3 linked regions of the Callithrix jacchus genome follow. The main gene of each other region encodes a partner of the protein of the gene in region 2 in a complex. Links are inferred from orthologs where the notes say so. Each region holds a gene or a part of one and is shown on either strand. Other genes may lie near its edges.

What was found.
Region 1: the proteins of MYO5A (region 2) and SPIRE2 are in contact, whole or in part, in a crystal structure (PDB 5JCY), measured with the Homo sapiens proteins. The link is inferred for Callithrix jacchus from reciprocal best matches to the Homo sapiens genes MYO5A and SPIRE2. Residues at the interface, in NP_001369276.1 of Homo sapiens: Asp1551, Val1554, Arg1555, Thr1559, Ile1562, Asn1563, Lys1566, Ser1597, Gly1598, Leu1615, Thr1616, Asn1617, Phe1618, Asp1619, Leu1620, Ala1621, Glu1622, Tyr1623, Val1626, Asp1629, Leu1630, Gln1633; in NP_115827.1 of Homo sapiens: Arg404, Pro405, Arg406, Val407, Leu408, Leu409, Lys410, Ala411, Pro412, Thr413, Leu414, Met417, Glu418, Met420.
Region 3: the proteins of MYO5A (region 2) and MLPH are in contact, whole or in part, in a crystal structure (PDB 4KP3), measured with the Mus musculus proteins. The link is inferred for Callithrix jacchus from reciprocal best matches to the Homo sapiens genes MYO5A and MLPH. Residues at the interface, in NP_034994.2 of Mus musculus: Asp1524, Val1527, Arg1528, Leu1531, Thr1532, Ile1535, Asn1536, Lys1539, Ser1570, Gly1571, Leu1588, Thr1589, Asn1590, Phe1591, Asp1592, Leu1593, Ala1594, Glu1595, Tyr1596, Val1599; in NP_443748.2 of Mus musculus: Lys184, Lys186, Arg187, Leu188, Leu189, Ser190, Phe191, Arg192, Asp195, Phe196, Glu197.

The regions. Positions count from the first base shown.
Region 1 is NC_133521.1:47,502,939-47,507,225, reverse strand, and holds the end of SPIRE2 (protein spire homolog 2), read right to left. Parts: intron 4,011-4,287; coding exon 3,983-4,010; intron 2,826-3,982; coding exon 2,710-2,825; intron 2,386-2,709; coding exon 2,163-2,385; 3' UTR 1,155-2,162; downstream 1-1,154. UniProt on the Homo sapiens protein: Acts as an actin nucleation factor, remains associated with the slow-growing pointed end of the new filament.
Region 2 is NC_133509.1:40,062,450-40,067,823, reverse strand, and holds part of MYO5A (unconventional myosin-Va), read left to right. Parts: intron 1-1,768; coding exon 1,769-1,980; intron 1,981-2,861; coding exon 2,862-3,018; intron 3,019-5,374. UniProt on the Homo sapiens protein: Processive actin-based motor that can move in large steps approximating the 36-nm pseudo-repeat of the actin filament. Can hydrolyze ATP in the presence of actin, which is essential for its function as a motor protein. Involved in melanosome transport.
Region 3 is NC_133507.1:158,840,903-158,846,276, forward strand, and holds part of MLPH (melanophilin), read left to right. Parts: intron 1-2,488; coding exon 2,489-2,674; intron 2,675-2,936; coding exon 2,937-3,092; intron 3,093-4,709; coding exon 4,710-4,802; intron 4,803-5,374. UniProt on the Homo sapiens protein: Rab effector protein involved in melanosome transport. Serves as link between melanosome-bound RAB27A and the motor protein MYO5A.

The sequences.
Region 1 (4,287 bases), on a different chromosome or scaffold from region 2:
CCTGTTTTATTTTTTATTATTTTTTTGAGATGGAGTCTCACTCTGTCACCCAGGCTGGAGTACAGTGGCACAATCTTGGCTTGCTACAACCTCTGCCTCCTGGGTTCAAGCAATTCTCCTCCCTCAGTCCCCGAGTAGCTGGGATTACAGGCATGTGCCACCACACCTGGCTCATTTTTAGTAGAGACAGGGTTTCACCATGTTGATCAGGCTGGTCTCGAGCTCATGTCGTCGTGATCCGTCCACCTCAGCCTCCCAAAGTGCTAAGACTACAGGCGTGAGCCACCGTGCATGACTGTTTTCTTAGTTTTAAACAGGAATAAAAATACAGGGCCAGCAGGAGGCAGAGGTTGCTGTGAGCAGAGATCACGCCATTGCATTCCAGACTGGGCAACAAGACCCAAACTCTGGAAAAAAAAAAAAAAAATTCTGTCTCAAAAAGAAATACACACACACACACACAGCCGAAGCTGGCTGATTTTATTGGGGGCTCTAACTGTGTGTGTGGATTTCCTGGGCCCCAGCTGATAGGAGTGTTTCTCCCACAGGCCAATCTGTTACAAGTCAGATCCCTTCCTAACCTCCAAGCCCCATGGCTGGCATTACAGCTTGGGGCCAAAGTTCCTGGGTGAGCTGTTTTTTTGGCCAAATTATTTTACCTGGTTGAGCCTCAGTTTCCTCATGTGTAAGGTGAAATGAAAGCAGAGCCTCACAGAGGAACAGGGCAGGGCGCTGTACCAGGCTGAGCCAGGCACTGGTGGGCAGACAGCACTGGGCACAGGGCCTGTCCAGAGCCTGTCATACCTCCAGCCCCTGTGATTCCTCTCCCTGGAGAACAAGAATAGGGATCTGGGAAGTGAGACTAAACTGTCCCCCAGGCCAGCAGATGTGGCCAAGGGAGGTGATGGGATGTGGTCTGTGCTGTCTGCCTGCACCCCTAACCAAGGTGGCCAGGACCACGGAAGCTGGTAGAGCCAGCCAGGGCTGCAGGGACAGAGCAGGCCTGGGACCCTTGCCGGGTGGGCATGCAACTGTGCTAAGCCAGGGAGGCCTTTCCTGGTCCTGGAGGGCAGGTGGCCCCTCAAGCTGAGCTTCAATCTTGGGAGAATATGCCCACTGCCATGCTGGGCGCACCCTCAGTGCACATCCAGACAGAACGTGAGACTTCCTTTATTAGGCCAAGCCTGGCCATGTGCACAGATTGACAGAGCTCCTCCTCCCTGGACTGGGACTTCCCAGCACCTTCAGTAGCCTCTGAGCCGGAGGCGAGTGAGGACAGCACCAGAATGTGGTAGGGCAAAGGGGCAGGACAGCTGGGGTGTGGACCCCAGGCAAGGGCAGAGAGAAGCTTGGCATGGACCTTTTTTTTTTTTGAGACAGAGTCTTACTCTATCACCCAGGCTGGAGTGTAGTGGTGTGATCATGGCTCACTGCAACCTCTGCCTTCGAGGTTCAAGTGATTCTTCTGTCTCAGCCTCCTGAGTAGCTAGGATTATAGGTGTGCACCACCACGCCCGGCTAATTTTTGTATTTTTAGCAGAGGCAAGGTTGACTCATGTTGGCCAGGCTGCTCTTGAACTTCTGACCTCAGGCGATCTTCCCTCCTCGGCCTCCCAAAGTGCTGGGATTACAGGTGTGAGCCACCATGCCTGGCCAGACCTTTCAAACAGAGGCGGGGGTGCCTCCCAGGAGAACCTCGCTCACTCAGACACTTCCCAGGTGCTGCCCAAGTCTCCACGAAGGGATAGCAGAGGCGAGCAGGGCACTCTGGTCCAGCTGGGAGCCAAGACACCCAATCCCCACCTAGACATCCACCAGGGAGGGGAAGCTGCTATCCTCATTGCTGGGGACAGAGAAGAGAATGGGAACATGGGATGCAGTCTGTGCCAGGATCTAGAACCCTCTGCTCTCTCTCCTCAGTGAGAAAACCCACTCCCTGTTCCCCCACCTTCCTCCCTGGCAAGGAATCCTGAGAAGAAACAGCCTCCCCGAGGGAGAGTTCTGAAGTGCGCCTGAACCCAAATGAGCTCTGGGGCGAGGCAACGACGTCTATAAATATATAGGCCGGGTGTATATATTATAAATCTATCTATATATGTATATATGTACATGCACAGCTCAGCGCGTCCTGGCCTGGAACAGGGCCTGCCTGGTGCTTCCTGTCACTTGAAGTCAAGAGTCCTGGTGTTAGGGATGTAGAGGGACTGGGTCTGGCGACTTCGTCGTGGCGTAGTGTTGAGGACGTCCACGCTCTTACGGCTGGAGCGCACCACGTCGGCCACAAAGCTGCTGCACTCACTGCAGACGTCCTTGAGGACACAGCCGTGGGAGTAGATGTGGGGGAATGCCTCCTCCACGCTCTGCCACTGTGGTCCTTGCAGAGATCTAGGGAGCAGGAGAGGGCAGTCAGGGAAAGCAGCCGGCCAGGGTGCAAGAGCCCACCCCTGTCCCTGACCCTGTATCCCAGAGCCCCCTCCTGGCTGCCTTTTGCCCTAGGCCTCCCCTTGGCCCTCAGACACCCATGGGGTTTTGTGTAAGTGACACAGCTAGCAGTGTTCATCTCAGCAAACACTGCTCCCTGACCACTCAAGTCCATTTCCTACCACTCAGCCTCCCAGAGACCTGCCTTGGCCCCCTCCACCCCAGCTCCCGGGTTACTGTTCATGCCCCACCACCACAGCGACATCAGCAGCAAGGCAAAGAACGCACTGGAAGACGTCTCTTCTCTGGACTGGCGTGGTTTTGGCAGCCGATGCCCTCTGAGGACTCTCAAAGCCCAGCGTGTAGACAGGGATGTGTGCAAACTTCTTAGAAGGCATCTTCATCTGCAGCAGAGGGAGGAGGTATGGACCAGGCACTCCACAGGGACATTCAAGTCACACTCAGTGCCGGAGAACCCTGTGGTACCTGCGTGGCAGCCAGCAGCACCACCTAGAGAATTTCCGATGTCTCTGTGCCATTTGTCTGAAGACCCACACATGACCATTCACGCTCTCTGCTCATCTGGACAGGGCCTTCTTGGAGGGCAAAAACTGGACCTTTTTATACCATATGGGACCTACCACCGTGCCCTACACATAATCAACATTTAACGCAGATGCGGTGGAAGTTTTCCCATTGCCAAGTACCAGGATATAGAGTAAGGGTTTTAAAACAGTGGTGGGAAAGGTGCCCCTGAAGCAGAGTCTTGCTTCTGAACTGAGGCATAAAGAGAAACTTTTTTTTTTTTTTTTTTGAAGACACAAGATCTTGCTCTGCTGCCCAGATGGAGTGCAGCAGCACCATAGCTCACTGTAGCCTTGAACTTCTGGGCTCAAGAGATCCTCTTCCCTCAGCCTCCCAAGTGCTGGAACTGCAGGCATGAGCCACCTTGCCTGGCTGCTGACATAGTTGTATCTATGTATGTATGTATTTATGAGACAGAGTTTCGATATGTCACCCACGCTGGAGTGCAGTGGCATCATCATAGCTCACCACGGCCTCTGTCTCCCGGGTTCGAGTGATTCTCGTACCTCAGCCTCCTGAGTAGCTGGGATTACAGGTGTGTTCCACCATGCCCAGCTAATTTTTTTGTATTTTTAATAGAGATGGGGGTTCACCATGTTGGCCAGGCTGGTCTCAAGCGGTCTGCCAGCCATGGCCTCCCAAAGTGCTGGGGTAACAGGCATAAGCACACACACAGCTGCAATAAGGAACCCCTCCTAAAACACCCAAAGTTACAGAATGTCAGAAGATGGGCCTTTGAGACGGGAAGCGAAGGGTTTCTTTTGGCACCAGGCTACTAACATGGAGTGTTTACAGACAAAAACCTGTAAGGGTCTTTAAAAACTGCACACTGTCTTGGAAAGTATAAGAATGGATTCTGCCTGAGAGGAAATGGATGAGGTGCCCGGCGAGCAGGACCATCCAACACATCCAATCAAAGGCAGTGGGGCCTGCCACCTACCTCGTTCAGACCCCAGAGATCCCACACACTCCTCACCTTTATGCTACAGGAAGTGCAGACAGCTCTGGAAGGGAAAGGGGAAATGCATCGTCAGCAGGGAGGAAGCCTACACAGAAGCAGCTGAGAAACAGTGGCATCCCAGCCTCCACACATCCCGCTTCAAACCATCCTTGCCTTCGGCTGGATGCCTGGTTACCTCAGTAATTTCATGCTACTCCAAAATCCTGCTTTTCTTTACACTTAGGTATCCACCCAAAATACATGTAGTCCTCAGCATTCTCTCAGGAAGGTCTGCACCTGGAGTCTTCTACTGCCAAGTGGCAGGATATAAAGTTTAAAAG
Region 2 (5,374 bases):
CCAGGCTAAAGAGTTCTCAGACTTTACTGTGACCTGGAATGCTTGTTAAAATACAGATTGCTAGGTTAAAATACAGACTCATTAGGTCTGAGGTGAGCCCAAGAATTGTTTCCTGGGTGATGCCAATGCTGTCTGAGGACTACATTTTGAGAACTATTGATCTTAGTCTTAAAGAATTAAAGATTAATGAAAAATTTTTAAAAAGTATTTTCACTTGTTAACACTAGCCTAGATGGATTACCTCACTTTGAGCTAATTGATCATAATTACTAGCTGAGGACTGCTTGTAATGCCCCTTTTTTGTTAATAATATTTTTTCCTTGAAAGAACTAAGGCTACTTTCTCAGTAATATTTTTTAAAAACTGGGCCTTTTCAAGGTTGGCCCAATTCCCTTCTAACCTGGCTTCAGGTGGGAATGTAGAGCAGAAATAGGAACAGGCCTATGCCTGGTCCCCTCACTCAGGCCACTTCAGGCCTAATCAAGGCTTTGCAGGGAATTTAGGCAGAGGCTGAAAGATGGAAGCAGGGTTGGTGTGAAGTGGCTCAGGGGTAAGGACCACTTTTCTAGCTAGGGTTCCTATGTAAATTTTATTGATTAAAATTGAAATAATTTTAGATTTTTTTAGATATACATGGATGTTTTTGATTTTGGGGTATCATGTATGAGATATAATGAGATACATACTTATAGGGAAAAATGATTTTCTCTGTTTTCACTTAGAATTTCAGATCACATGGCTGGGCGTGGTGGCTTATGCCTGTAATCCTAGCACTTTGGGAGGCTTGGGCAGATTGCTTGAGGCCCAGAGTTTGAGCTATGCTGGCTAGTGCTGGCCATGCTGGCCAATATGGTGAAACCCTGTCTCCACTAAAAATACAAAAATTAGCTGGACATGGTGGTCTGTGCCTGTAATCCCAGCTACTCAGGAAGCTGAAGCAGGAGAATCGCTTGAATCCAGAAGGCGGAGGCTACAGTGAGCCAAGATCACGCCACTGCACTCCAGCCTGGGAAGCAGAGTGAGACTCCATCTCAAAAAAAAAAAAAAAAAAAGAATTTCAGATCACAGTAATGATTTTTATACATAAATTCCATTCTTTGGGGTGCAGGAATGGTTAATGATTTGCATTCTTCTAGATAAGGTGAATCACAGTGTAATATAAATAATTATATTTCTGTAAAAGGAGTTTGAAATTTGTAGGATTTTAAACATATTTATGGAGTCTTGTTACTTTGTTTTCAAATATTATTGATAAAGCCAAGGGATAACTGTTTAGAAATGTACTCAATATGAATACTCAAGGATTTTTGTTTTTGTTTTTTTTTATTTCATATGCATTTCTTCCTGCCTTATTCTTCACACTGGTGTTTTTGTCCCTTCAGCTTTCTCATGGAATATACAGCCTGATGTAATCCTTACAGCCTGGGTCAGTCAGAGAGAGTCAGCATCTCCATTTCCTTGAGATGTTTAAAACACAAACAAGCAAATAATAGCTGCCTATAACCCACAACCAAGTTTTGGGCCTCAGATAATAATTCCAGGTAGAATAATTCTGGAAAATAACTCTTAAACTGCAGTTTTTCTTGAAATCCCTTCTGTTTGCTCAACTTGCAAAGGGTTAAAAATCTGGTTTCATTAGTTAATTGTGACATAGCCCAAGTTTTAGCTGATAGATAATTCCTTTACTGATTCTGCTTTTAGATATTTTTTCTTTTAAATTTCATTTTATGATTATTATTTCTGAATATACAATTTCTTCCAAAAATAGGACAAGGACAAATACCAGTTTGGTAAGACAAAGATCTTTTTCCGTGCTGGTCAAGTGGCCTATCTAGAAAAACTGAGAGCAGACAAACTGAGGGCTGCCTGCATCCGGATCCAGAAGACCATCCGAGGGTGGCTGCTGAGGAAGAAGTACCTACGCATGCGGAAGGCGGCCATTGCTGTGCAGAGATATGTGAGGGGCTACCAGGCCCGATGGTAGGTCTCATGGTGACATATTAGGGTGCCCATATAATTCACTGTCCAACCAAGGACAGTTTTAAGTGGTCACCATACCTGAAAAGATAACACCTCACCTTTTCTTAGTTCCAAGGAACAACAAATTAACTCATAGCACAACTAAATAGAATGAAATTCACTCAGCCTTATGAATTATTCGGATTTATCTTCCAAGCATTTACAAACTGCTGCCTACTTAATGTCCTAAAAATTTTTATTTTTGATACTTTTATATTGAGCTTGAGGAGATCGTATATTAATTAAGATAGTCATGAATATGAGCTGGTTAATAATGACTGCACTGAAGAATTTGGGGGAGCAATTAACTGAGATGATCTTGAAGAGAAGTACACTTTAGTGTGATTACATATTAGGTTGATTTTAATTGAGAAGTATAAGTAGAAATGAATTAATGAACTTATATGCTAGTAGATTCAGGAAAAATATGGTACGTTAGTAATGGCTAGATTCAAGAAAGCTGGTGATAACTAAGTGTGAGGTTACTGTGTATGTCCATCTGTTATATAAAGAGGACATAGTAATGGATCCTAATGCAGAAAGAATGAACTTTTTTGAATTTCACTTTCTTGTAAAATCTGGCTATGTGGGCCATCCTGCTTTTCAGGGTAAGGGAGGGCTCAAATGAGATAATAAATGAAAAAAAAACTTTGGGAAACTATAAATTGCTATACAAATGTAAGTAAATATAAATGTTGACTTAGCATGCACATTATTAGAATAATACAATGGAGGTACTACTTTTAATGCCTAAAACAGTGACACTCTTTACATTTCTATAACATGTATTCCTGTGTTTTTTTTCTGATGAGTGACAACACACTGTTATTTTCTTTGGCCAGCTATGCTAAGTTTCTGCGCAGAACCAAGGCAGCAACTATCATTCAAAAGTACTGGCGTATGTATGTGGTCCACAGGAGGTATAAGATTAGACGAGCTGCCACTATCGTTCTTCAGTCTTATTTGCGAGGCTACTTGGCCAGAAATAGGTATCGCAAGGTGAGGCATTATTTTCAACTTTGTTTTTTCATTCTATTAATATTAAACAAATTCCACTTCTATATAGAGCACCACAAGGGCTACAATAAACATAGGAACTGTATGGAGACAACCAGCAATTGAAATGTGTATTTATTTATTAAAAAATATTTTTTTTTTTAGAAACAGGATCTTGCTCTGTCATCCTGGCTGGGGTGTAGTGGTGCAGTCATAGCTCAACTGCAGCCTCAAACTCCTGGCCTCAAACAGTCCTCCCACCATGGCCTCCCAGAGTGCTGAAATTACAGGTGTGAGCCACCGTGCACATGCCCAGCCTGAAATGTATTTTAAAATACTAAATAATCACATATATTTATTAACAAAACAATAGGGAAAAAACATATACTTCTTTTTTCTCTTTGTTTATATAATTTGAAAAAAAAGTATTTTAGTTTCCTTTGGCTGCTATAATAAATTATCATAAACTTGGTACCTTAAACCAACTAAAATTTATTCTCTCAGAGTTCTGGAGACCGAAAGTCCAAAATCATTATCACTGGGGCAAAATCAAGTTGTTAGCAGGCTGCTGTCCCTCCAGAAGCTCCAGGAAAGAATCCATTCCTCCCTCTTGCAGCTTCTGGTTGCTGCCAGCATGCCTGTGCTTGTGGCCACATCAGTCCAGTCTCTGTCTCTGTCTTTACAGCATTTTCTCCTCTGTGTATCTGACTTCTCTTCTCCTATCTGCCTCTTATAAGAATAATTCGGATAGCATTTAGGTTGTACCATGTAATCCAGGATAATCCTCTCATCTGAAGATCCTTAACCTAATCATGTCTACAAAGGCACTTTTTCTGAATAAGTTAACATTTGCAGGTTCCAGGAATTAGCACCCAAATTCCTTGGGGCCCATTGTTTAGATGACTACAGGGAACTTTGAATAGGTAGAATATATGACAGACAGGTTGAAGATTATTCCAAGAATGAGACAACCTTGAGAGAAGTTTCCATGGTCAAGAGGAGACAAAGTATAACATTAATGCAGTTAAAATTGTATTGACAGGTATGATGCACCAAAAGTTTTTGACAAATAATCTTTTATCTAGCAATAATTAACAAGGTCACCAGAGTAATTTTAATTATCACCTGTGACCATTGAACAATTTTTATCTCTCATTTTGGCAAGGTTTGGAGTCTGTCCTATAGGGTATATTTCAAATAAGTGAGAAATAGAAGCCTGGATATTAGAGCTCTGTGGACATCACCATTAGAAGGAGCATTAATGGGGTGATTTGGGTCTCTAATCACAGGAAGTATATGGGTGTGACCTAGGCTCTATTTATTTTTTATTTATTTTGCTTTTTTATTTGAAGTGATTTTAGACAACAAAAAACTTGAAACCGTTGAGGCTTGAATGAGTGTATTTAATAGCTGTGTTTTGAAGATAGCTACTCCACATCTGTCTTTCTGCTCACCTCTCTTTTATGAGGTCTCATACTCTTTCTATATAAGCATGAGATTTTAGAGAAGGAAGAGGTTTGAAGTTGGCTTTTCAGATACACCAAACTAGTTAAATCTTCCTGTGTTCCTCAGTACTCTCCTTAGAAACATCTGAGTTGGGTTTTGAGCCATTGGTTTAGCAGTAGCAGTCTCTGGCCAGCTCAGGCTTCCACTGTGACTGGACCGGGTGGAGGTGGCAACGTAGAGGCTTGCTCACATGTAAGCCAACAGCATCACATTACTGCTCCTTCTAGCTGTATTTCAGGTCCAAGGTTCCCCTTCATGAGATGTGGCGGAGTCTTAAAGAGAGTACAGATGTTGATCAATTTCTCTCACTCATGATGAAGTGGGATTAAAAATGGAAGCTTGATTATATGCTGTTTCCATTTGACTAAAATTTCAAAAATGGACCAATATCCAAAGTTATGTGGGGGAAGCAAATGGAACAGGAAAATTGGCATTAATAGCTTTGCTACTGTGTCCTGCTTGAGTTTTAAACTCTGAAAGTCTTTAATTTGCCACCACTGAGGCTCATCCAGTTGCTCCTTAGTCATCTGGATAAGACAAAGGCCTCTCTCCAGACTGTGACGTTCAGTGAATGTTCAGAACTCTCAACCTCAGTGCAGGGTGATTCAGTGGCTACACTGAAGGAAAACCGAAGGCTGCCTTAGCGTTAGGAAAACAGCCACAGATGGCAGGCTTGAGGCTGCCAAAGATACTACTCAGATCTCCTGAACTACTGTGTTCATTTTGATTTTGATGGTTTAAAAGTTAACCACTTGTTTCTTAAATGTATCTTCTAGAATGACACATTTTATTCATTGCTTTTTTCAGGTACAATAACCTAAAAATAGGAACTATTTTTTTAATCTTATTAAAC
Region 3 (5,374 bases), on a different chromosome or scaffold from region 2:
GCCCGTACTGTCAGCGTCCCTGTCACACGTGTAAGTGTCAGACAGCAGCCCGTACTGTCAGCGTCCCTGTCACACGTGTAAGTGTCAGGCAGCAGCCCATACTGTCAGCGTCCCTGTCACACGTGTAAGAACCAGCAGCAGCCCATACTGTCAGCGTCCCTGTCACACGTGTAAGTGTCAGGCAGCAGCCCGTACTGTCAGCGTCCCTGTCACACGTGTAAGAACCAGCAGCAGCCCGTACTGTCAGCGTCCCTGTCACACGTGTAAGTGTCAGGCAGCAGCCCATACTGTCAGCGTCCCTGTCACACGTGTAAGTGTCAGGCAGCAGCCCGTACTGTCAGCGTCCCTGTCACACGTGTAAGAACCGGCAGCAGCCCGTACTGGCAGCGTCCCTGTTGCACGTGTAAGTGTCAGGCAGCAGCCCGTACTGTCAGCGTCCCTGTCGCACGTGTAAGTGTCAGGCAGCAGCCCGTACTGGCAGCGTCCCTGTCGCACGTGTAAGTGTCAGGCAGCAGCCCATACTGTCAGCGTCCCTGTCACACGTGTAAGAACCGGCAGCAGCCCGTACTGGCAGCGTCCCTGTCACACGTGTAAGTGTCAGGCAGCAGCCCATACTGTCAGCGTCCCTGTCACACGTGTAAGAACCGGCAGCAGCCCGTACTGTCAGCGTCCCTGTCACACGTGTAAGTGTCAGGCAGCAGCCCGTACTGTCAGCGTCCCTGTCGCACGTGTAAGAACCGGCAGCAGCCCATACTGTCAGCGTCCCTGTCACACGTGTAAGAACTGGCAGCAGCCCATACTGTCAGCGTCCCTGTCGCACGTGTAAGAACCGGCAGCAGCCCATACTGTCAGCGTCCCTGTCGCACCTGTAAGTGTCAGGCATCAGTGTCCTTTTAAGGTACAGAGAAAGCCCATCTGCCTGGTGCTCAGCTCACCCCTGTAGCTTTCCTCCACAGATGAAATCCCCACCACCACCAAAAAAGACAGCTTTTCAAGGCAATCCTGTCTGCAGCTTCTCTGAATAAACACCCGGAAATATGTCCCAGAAGTCCATTCTGGGGTGGCATATTTTGGTTTCCTTCACAACCCAACAATTGGAACACAGGTCAGGAGGTGGAGGAAGGTAGAGAAGAATCAATCGAGGCAGAAGGTCCCTGGGGCGAGGCTGCCATTTCAAATGAGATGCCCCCACTGAGCGTGAGATTTGCCCGAAGAGCTGGCAGAGGTGCCAGAACTGCCGTGTGGCTGTCTAGGATGGAGTGTGGCAGCCCTTCTACAGTCCCAAGGAGGGAGCACCTGCAGGAGACAGCGTGGCCAGGATGGGTGAGACAGAGGCAGGCCTGGGAGCAGAGAGGCCGGAGCTGGGCCTCGTGCCGGCGTCAGACAAGATGGAGCCTCCCAGGCTCTGCCTTTACTATGGAGTTGGGGAGGCTTGAGCAGAAGACAGCTGGCTGAGGGCACGGGGTTGCTCTGGCTGTCCTGAGAACAGGCTGTGGAGTGGGAGTGAGGCAGCAGGGCCGGCTGGGAGAAGGTGGTGGTAGGACCGGGTAGAGTAACAAAGTGAAATGAGACAGGCATGTCCGGGGAGCCTCGCAAAGGCAGAGCCCACAGGAATGGCTCTTTGGGATGAGAGGAAAAGGCGAGTCAGGATGTCTGCAAGGCTCTTGGCCTGAGCTTTAAAGAGTTGAGCTGCCTCCACCAAAAAGAGCGAGACGCCTTAGCACTGTTATGGCTGTAAGAGGCAATTGGGATGATTTTGTGTTTTTATCACTTAATTCTGTTGCCCTCTCAGAGCTGGCACATCAAACCCTTCCTGAAAGGCTGGCGTCCACAACAGACAAAGCCTACCCTTAGCCTCCCTTCCTCCCGCACACAGACAAGGCGGCCAGTGGAAGGAGACCCTTTCTCACTCACAGCCCAGCGCTGCTTTTATGTGATTGGGAGCCATGTGACACAGAGAACTGACCAGCAGCAGCTGCTAAGTCAGTCCTTGGCCAGACTGTGGGAAGGTACAGCTCCTGGTACTGGACCATCCAAAGCCAGCTGTGCATTTCCCTGAGAGACAGTGGGCAAAGAGCCATGACTCCATGCCCCTCTCCCCATCCATAGAGTAAGGACATGACTCCACAATCCTCTCCCCATCCATAGAGTAAGGACATGACTCCATGCCCCTCTCCCCATCCACAGAGTAAGGACATCCACCTGGAATACACAAGAGGCACCCTTAGATGTAAGGGATGAGAGGATCTTAGCTAGAGGTGGTGGGCATCTTTCCCTAGGAAGCCCCGTCCTGCAGAGTCTGCTTCTGGAGTCTGGGACTGGGCCCCAGAGGGGCACAGTGGACAAGCTTGCATGGAGAAGGGAGGCAGCCCGAGCTCAGCAGGAACCCCAGGGGTGCTGGGCCCAGGCCCACCTCCCAGAGCCAACCCTTGAGCTCCACGGCTCCAGATGATGAGCCGAATACAAACTCACTGGCTTGTTCTGTCAGGGTGTAGGTGCTGGAGTGCACACGGAGGCTGATGTGGAGGAGGAGACCCTGAGGAGGAAGCTGGAGGAGCTGACCAGCAACGTCAGTGATGAGGGGCCCTCGTCTGAGGAAGAGGAGACCAAGGACGAAAAGGCAGAGCCCGACAGGGGCACCTCAGTTGGGACCCTCCCCCATGCAGACTCAGAGGTAAGACCACCCCCAGGGGTCTCAGCAGGACCCTGCAGGGGGGCAAGAAAGGACAGTTCCAGGTAGCCACCACCCTCCCCAGAGAGGCAGCCACTGCATGGGGACACCAAGAGCCCTTGAGGGGGTCCATGGTGGGTGGCCAGCTCCTGGCCGACCAGTTCCCAGGGTTCAGAGAGGAGAGAAATGTCAGGGCAAGTCCCCGTCTGGGTGAGACCCACACTCCCTCCTGGAGCTGGTCAGCCTCCGTCCTTCTCTTTCCTAGGTGGGCACAGCTGCCCATCAAACCAACAGACAGGAAAAGAGCCGCCAGGGCCCTGAGGACCCCGTCCAGCACAACAGGACCACAGATGAGGCGCTGTCGGAGCTGGAGGACAGAGTGGCAGTGACAGTCTCAGAAGTCCAGCAGGCAGAGAGCGAGGTAGCCCCGAAGGCACAGGGGAGCACGTGCAGGGTTCCACAAACACAGATGGTGACCGTGGCTGGGTGTTGACCGTCTGACTGACAGCTCACACCAAGCCCTCCCCACTGGCCCAGGATGCACGCCTCTGAAGGCCGAGCATGCACCTGAGGTTCCTGTGGGGCTCACCTGGCTTGCCACCCCCTGAGCCCTCCACCCCTTCCCTTTTTCCAACTTGGTGAGGGACAGGCAGGGTTACTACCAAGAAAAAAGTACTGACCACTCACAATCCCTGACCTGTAAGCAGGCCTGGAATTTAGGGCAGCCCCAGACTCAGGACTGGACTCTGTCCCCAGGGCCATCTGTGAGTCCCAGTGTGGCTGCAGAGCTTGCATCTGGGTGAGGAACATATCAATCGTGCACAAAGGTCAAAGGGCAAAGCCAACACATTGAGGCCTCCCAGGGACAGCCGATGTGACTTGTGCATGCTCTGTCCTCCCCAGAGACCTACAGAGAGGAGAGGGTCTGCCCCTCAGACTGTGGGGACAGCCAGCCCCCTGGCCCTCCTCTGCTTCCCTTCTCATGAGCAGGCACCTGTCACCCCCTGAGGAAGAAGGGCACATACCCCAGGGCTGTTCCCGTTGAGGGGGCAAGTCAGGCTCCGGAATCCCCTCATTTCTTCCTTCTCGCTTGGGCTCTGGACTCCCCTTGTTTCTTCCTTCTCGCTCGGGCTCTGGACTTTCCCTTCATTTCTTCCTCCTCGCTCTGCAAATCAGCTTCAAATGCCTGAAATGCAGCCACGTTGTGTAGGTCACGGAAGATACAGCTGCAAATGCCTTAGACCAAGCCCCCGCCTTCCTGAAGCTTCTGTTTTTAGTAGGAGGAGGTAAATAGCAAACCAGATCCTTTGGGTTCTCGTAAAGTGCATGAAGACCATCAGTAAAGGTACCCCTAGGGCGCTCGGGGCAGGGCGATTCAGATAAGGTGGTCAGGAGGGATGCCAGGGAAATGAACCAGCCCGGCAAATCCAGGAGGCAGGAGCCTGGGTGGAGGGAGCAGCGTGTGCCAGGGCCCTGGGGTGGCAGTGAGTTTGGCACGCGCAGGGATCAGTCATGAAACCCTGAGACTGGGTCAGAGTGATGAGAGGGAGACTGTGAGGAGGATGGGCTGGAAGGATCTGAGTAGGGTGATGGGGCCTGGTTTCTGTTTCCAGAAGCTGCCCCTGGCTGCTGTGGGAGGGGTGGCCTCAGGGGCAAGGAGCGGAAGGGGAGCTGGGCAAGGATGATGTCAGTAGGGGTGGCTGAGTGCTAGGTGAAGAGTAGCCACCACCGTCCTCCCCAGTCATGGCCCCTCCTCCAGCTCTTTATGAGAACCAGACTCCCTATGACTCCAGAAAATGCACCCCCTCCTGCCTGGGGTGGCACACAAGAAAGGTACCCCCCTTCTCAATAACCATGGAAGATAAATGCCAAGGGGACCACCAAGATGGGCATGGGGCTGGGACGCCAATCTTGAGGGAAAACACAAGTAAAATTGGCTCCAGGAGTGAGCTGGGGGCAGCTGCTCTTTCTGTCCATGACTTTGAGGTGGGACCTCGAGCATCTGTCTGATGGGCCGCCTGTCTACTGTCCTCTCCAGGTTTCAGACATCGAATCCAGGATTGCAGCCCTGAGGGCTGCGGGGCTCACAGTGAAGCCCTCGGGAAAGCCCCGGAGGAGGTCAAACCTCCCGGTGAGTGGGGGCACAATGGTGAGTGGGGGGGCACAGTGTTGAGCAGGGGCGCAGTGGTGATCGGGGGCACAGTGAGTGGGGGTACAGTGAGTGGAGGTGCAGTGGTGAGGGGGGCATAGTGGTGAGTGGGGGTGCAGTGGTGAGTGGGGGTACAGTGGTCAGTTGGGGGTGCAGTGGTCAGTGGGGGGGTGCAGTGGTGATTGGGGGCTGCAGAGGTGAGTGGGGGTGCAGTGAGTGGGGTTACAGTGGTGAGTTGAGGCACAGTGGTGAGTGGGGGGTGTAGTGGTGAGTGGGGGCACAGTGGTGAGCGGGGGCACAGTGAGTGGGCACAGTGGTAAGTGGGGGTGCAGTGGTGAGTGGGGGTGAAGTGGTGAGTGGGGTTACAGTGGTCAGTGGAGGGTGCAGTGGTGAGTGAGGGTGTAGTGGTCAGTTGGGGGTGCAGTGGTCAGTGGGGGGTGCAGTGGTGATTGGGGGCTGCAGAGGTGAGTGGGGGTGCAGTGAGTGGGGTTACAGTGGTGAGTTGAGGCACAGTGGTGAGTGGGGGGTGTAGTGGTGAGTGGGGGCACAGTGGT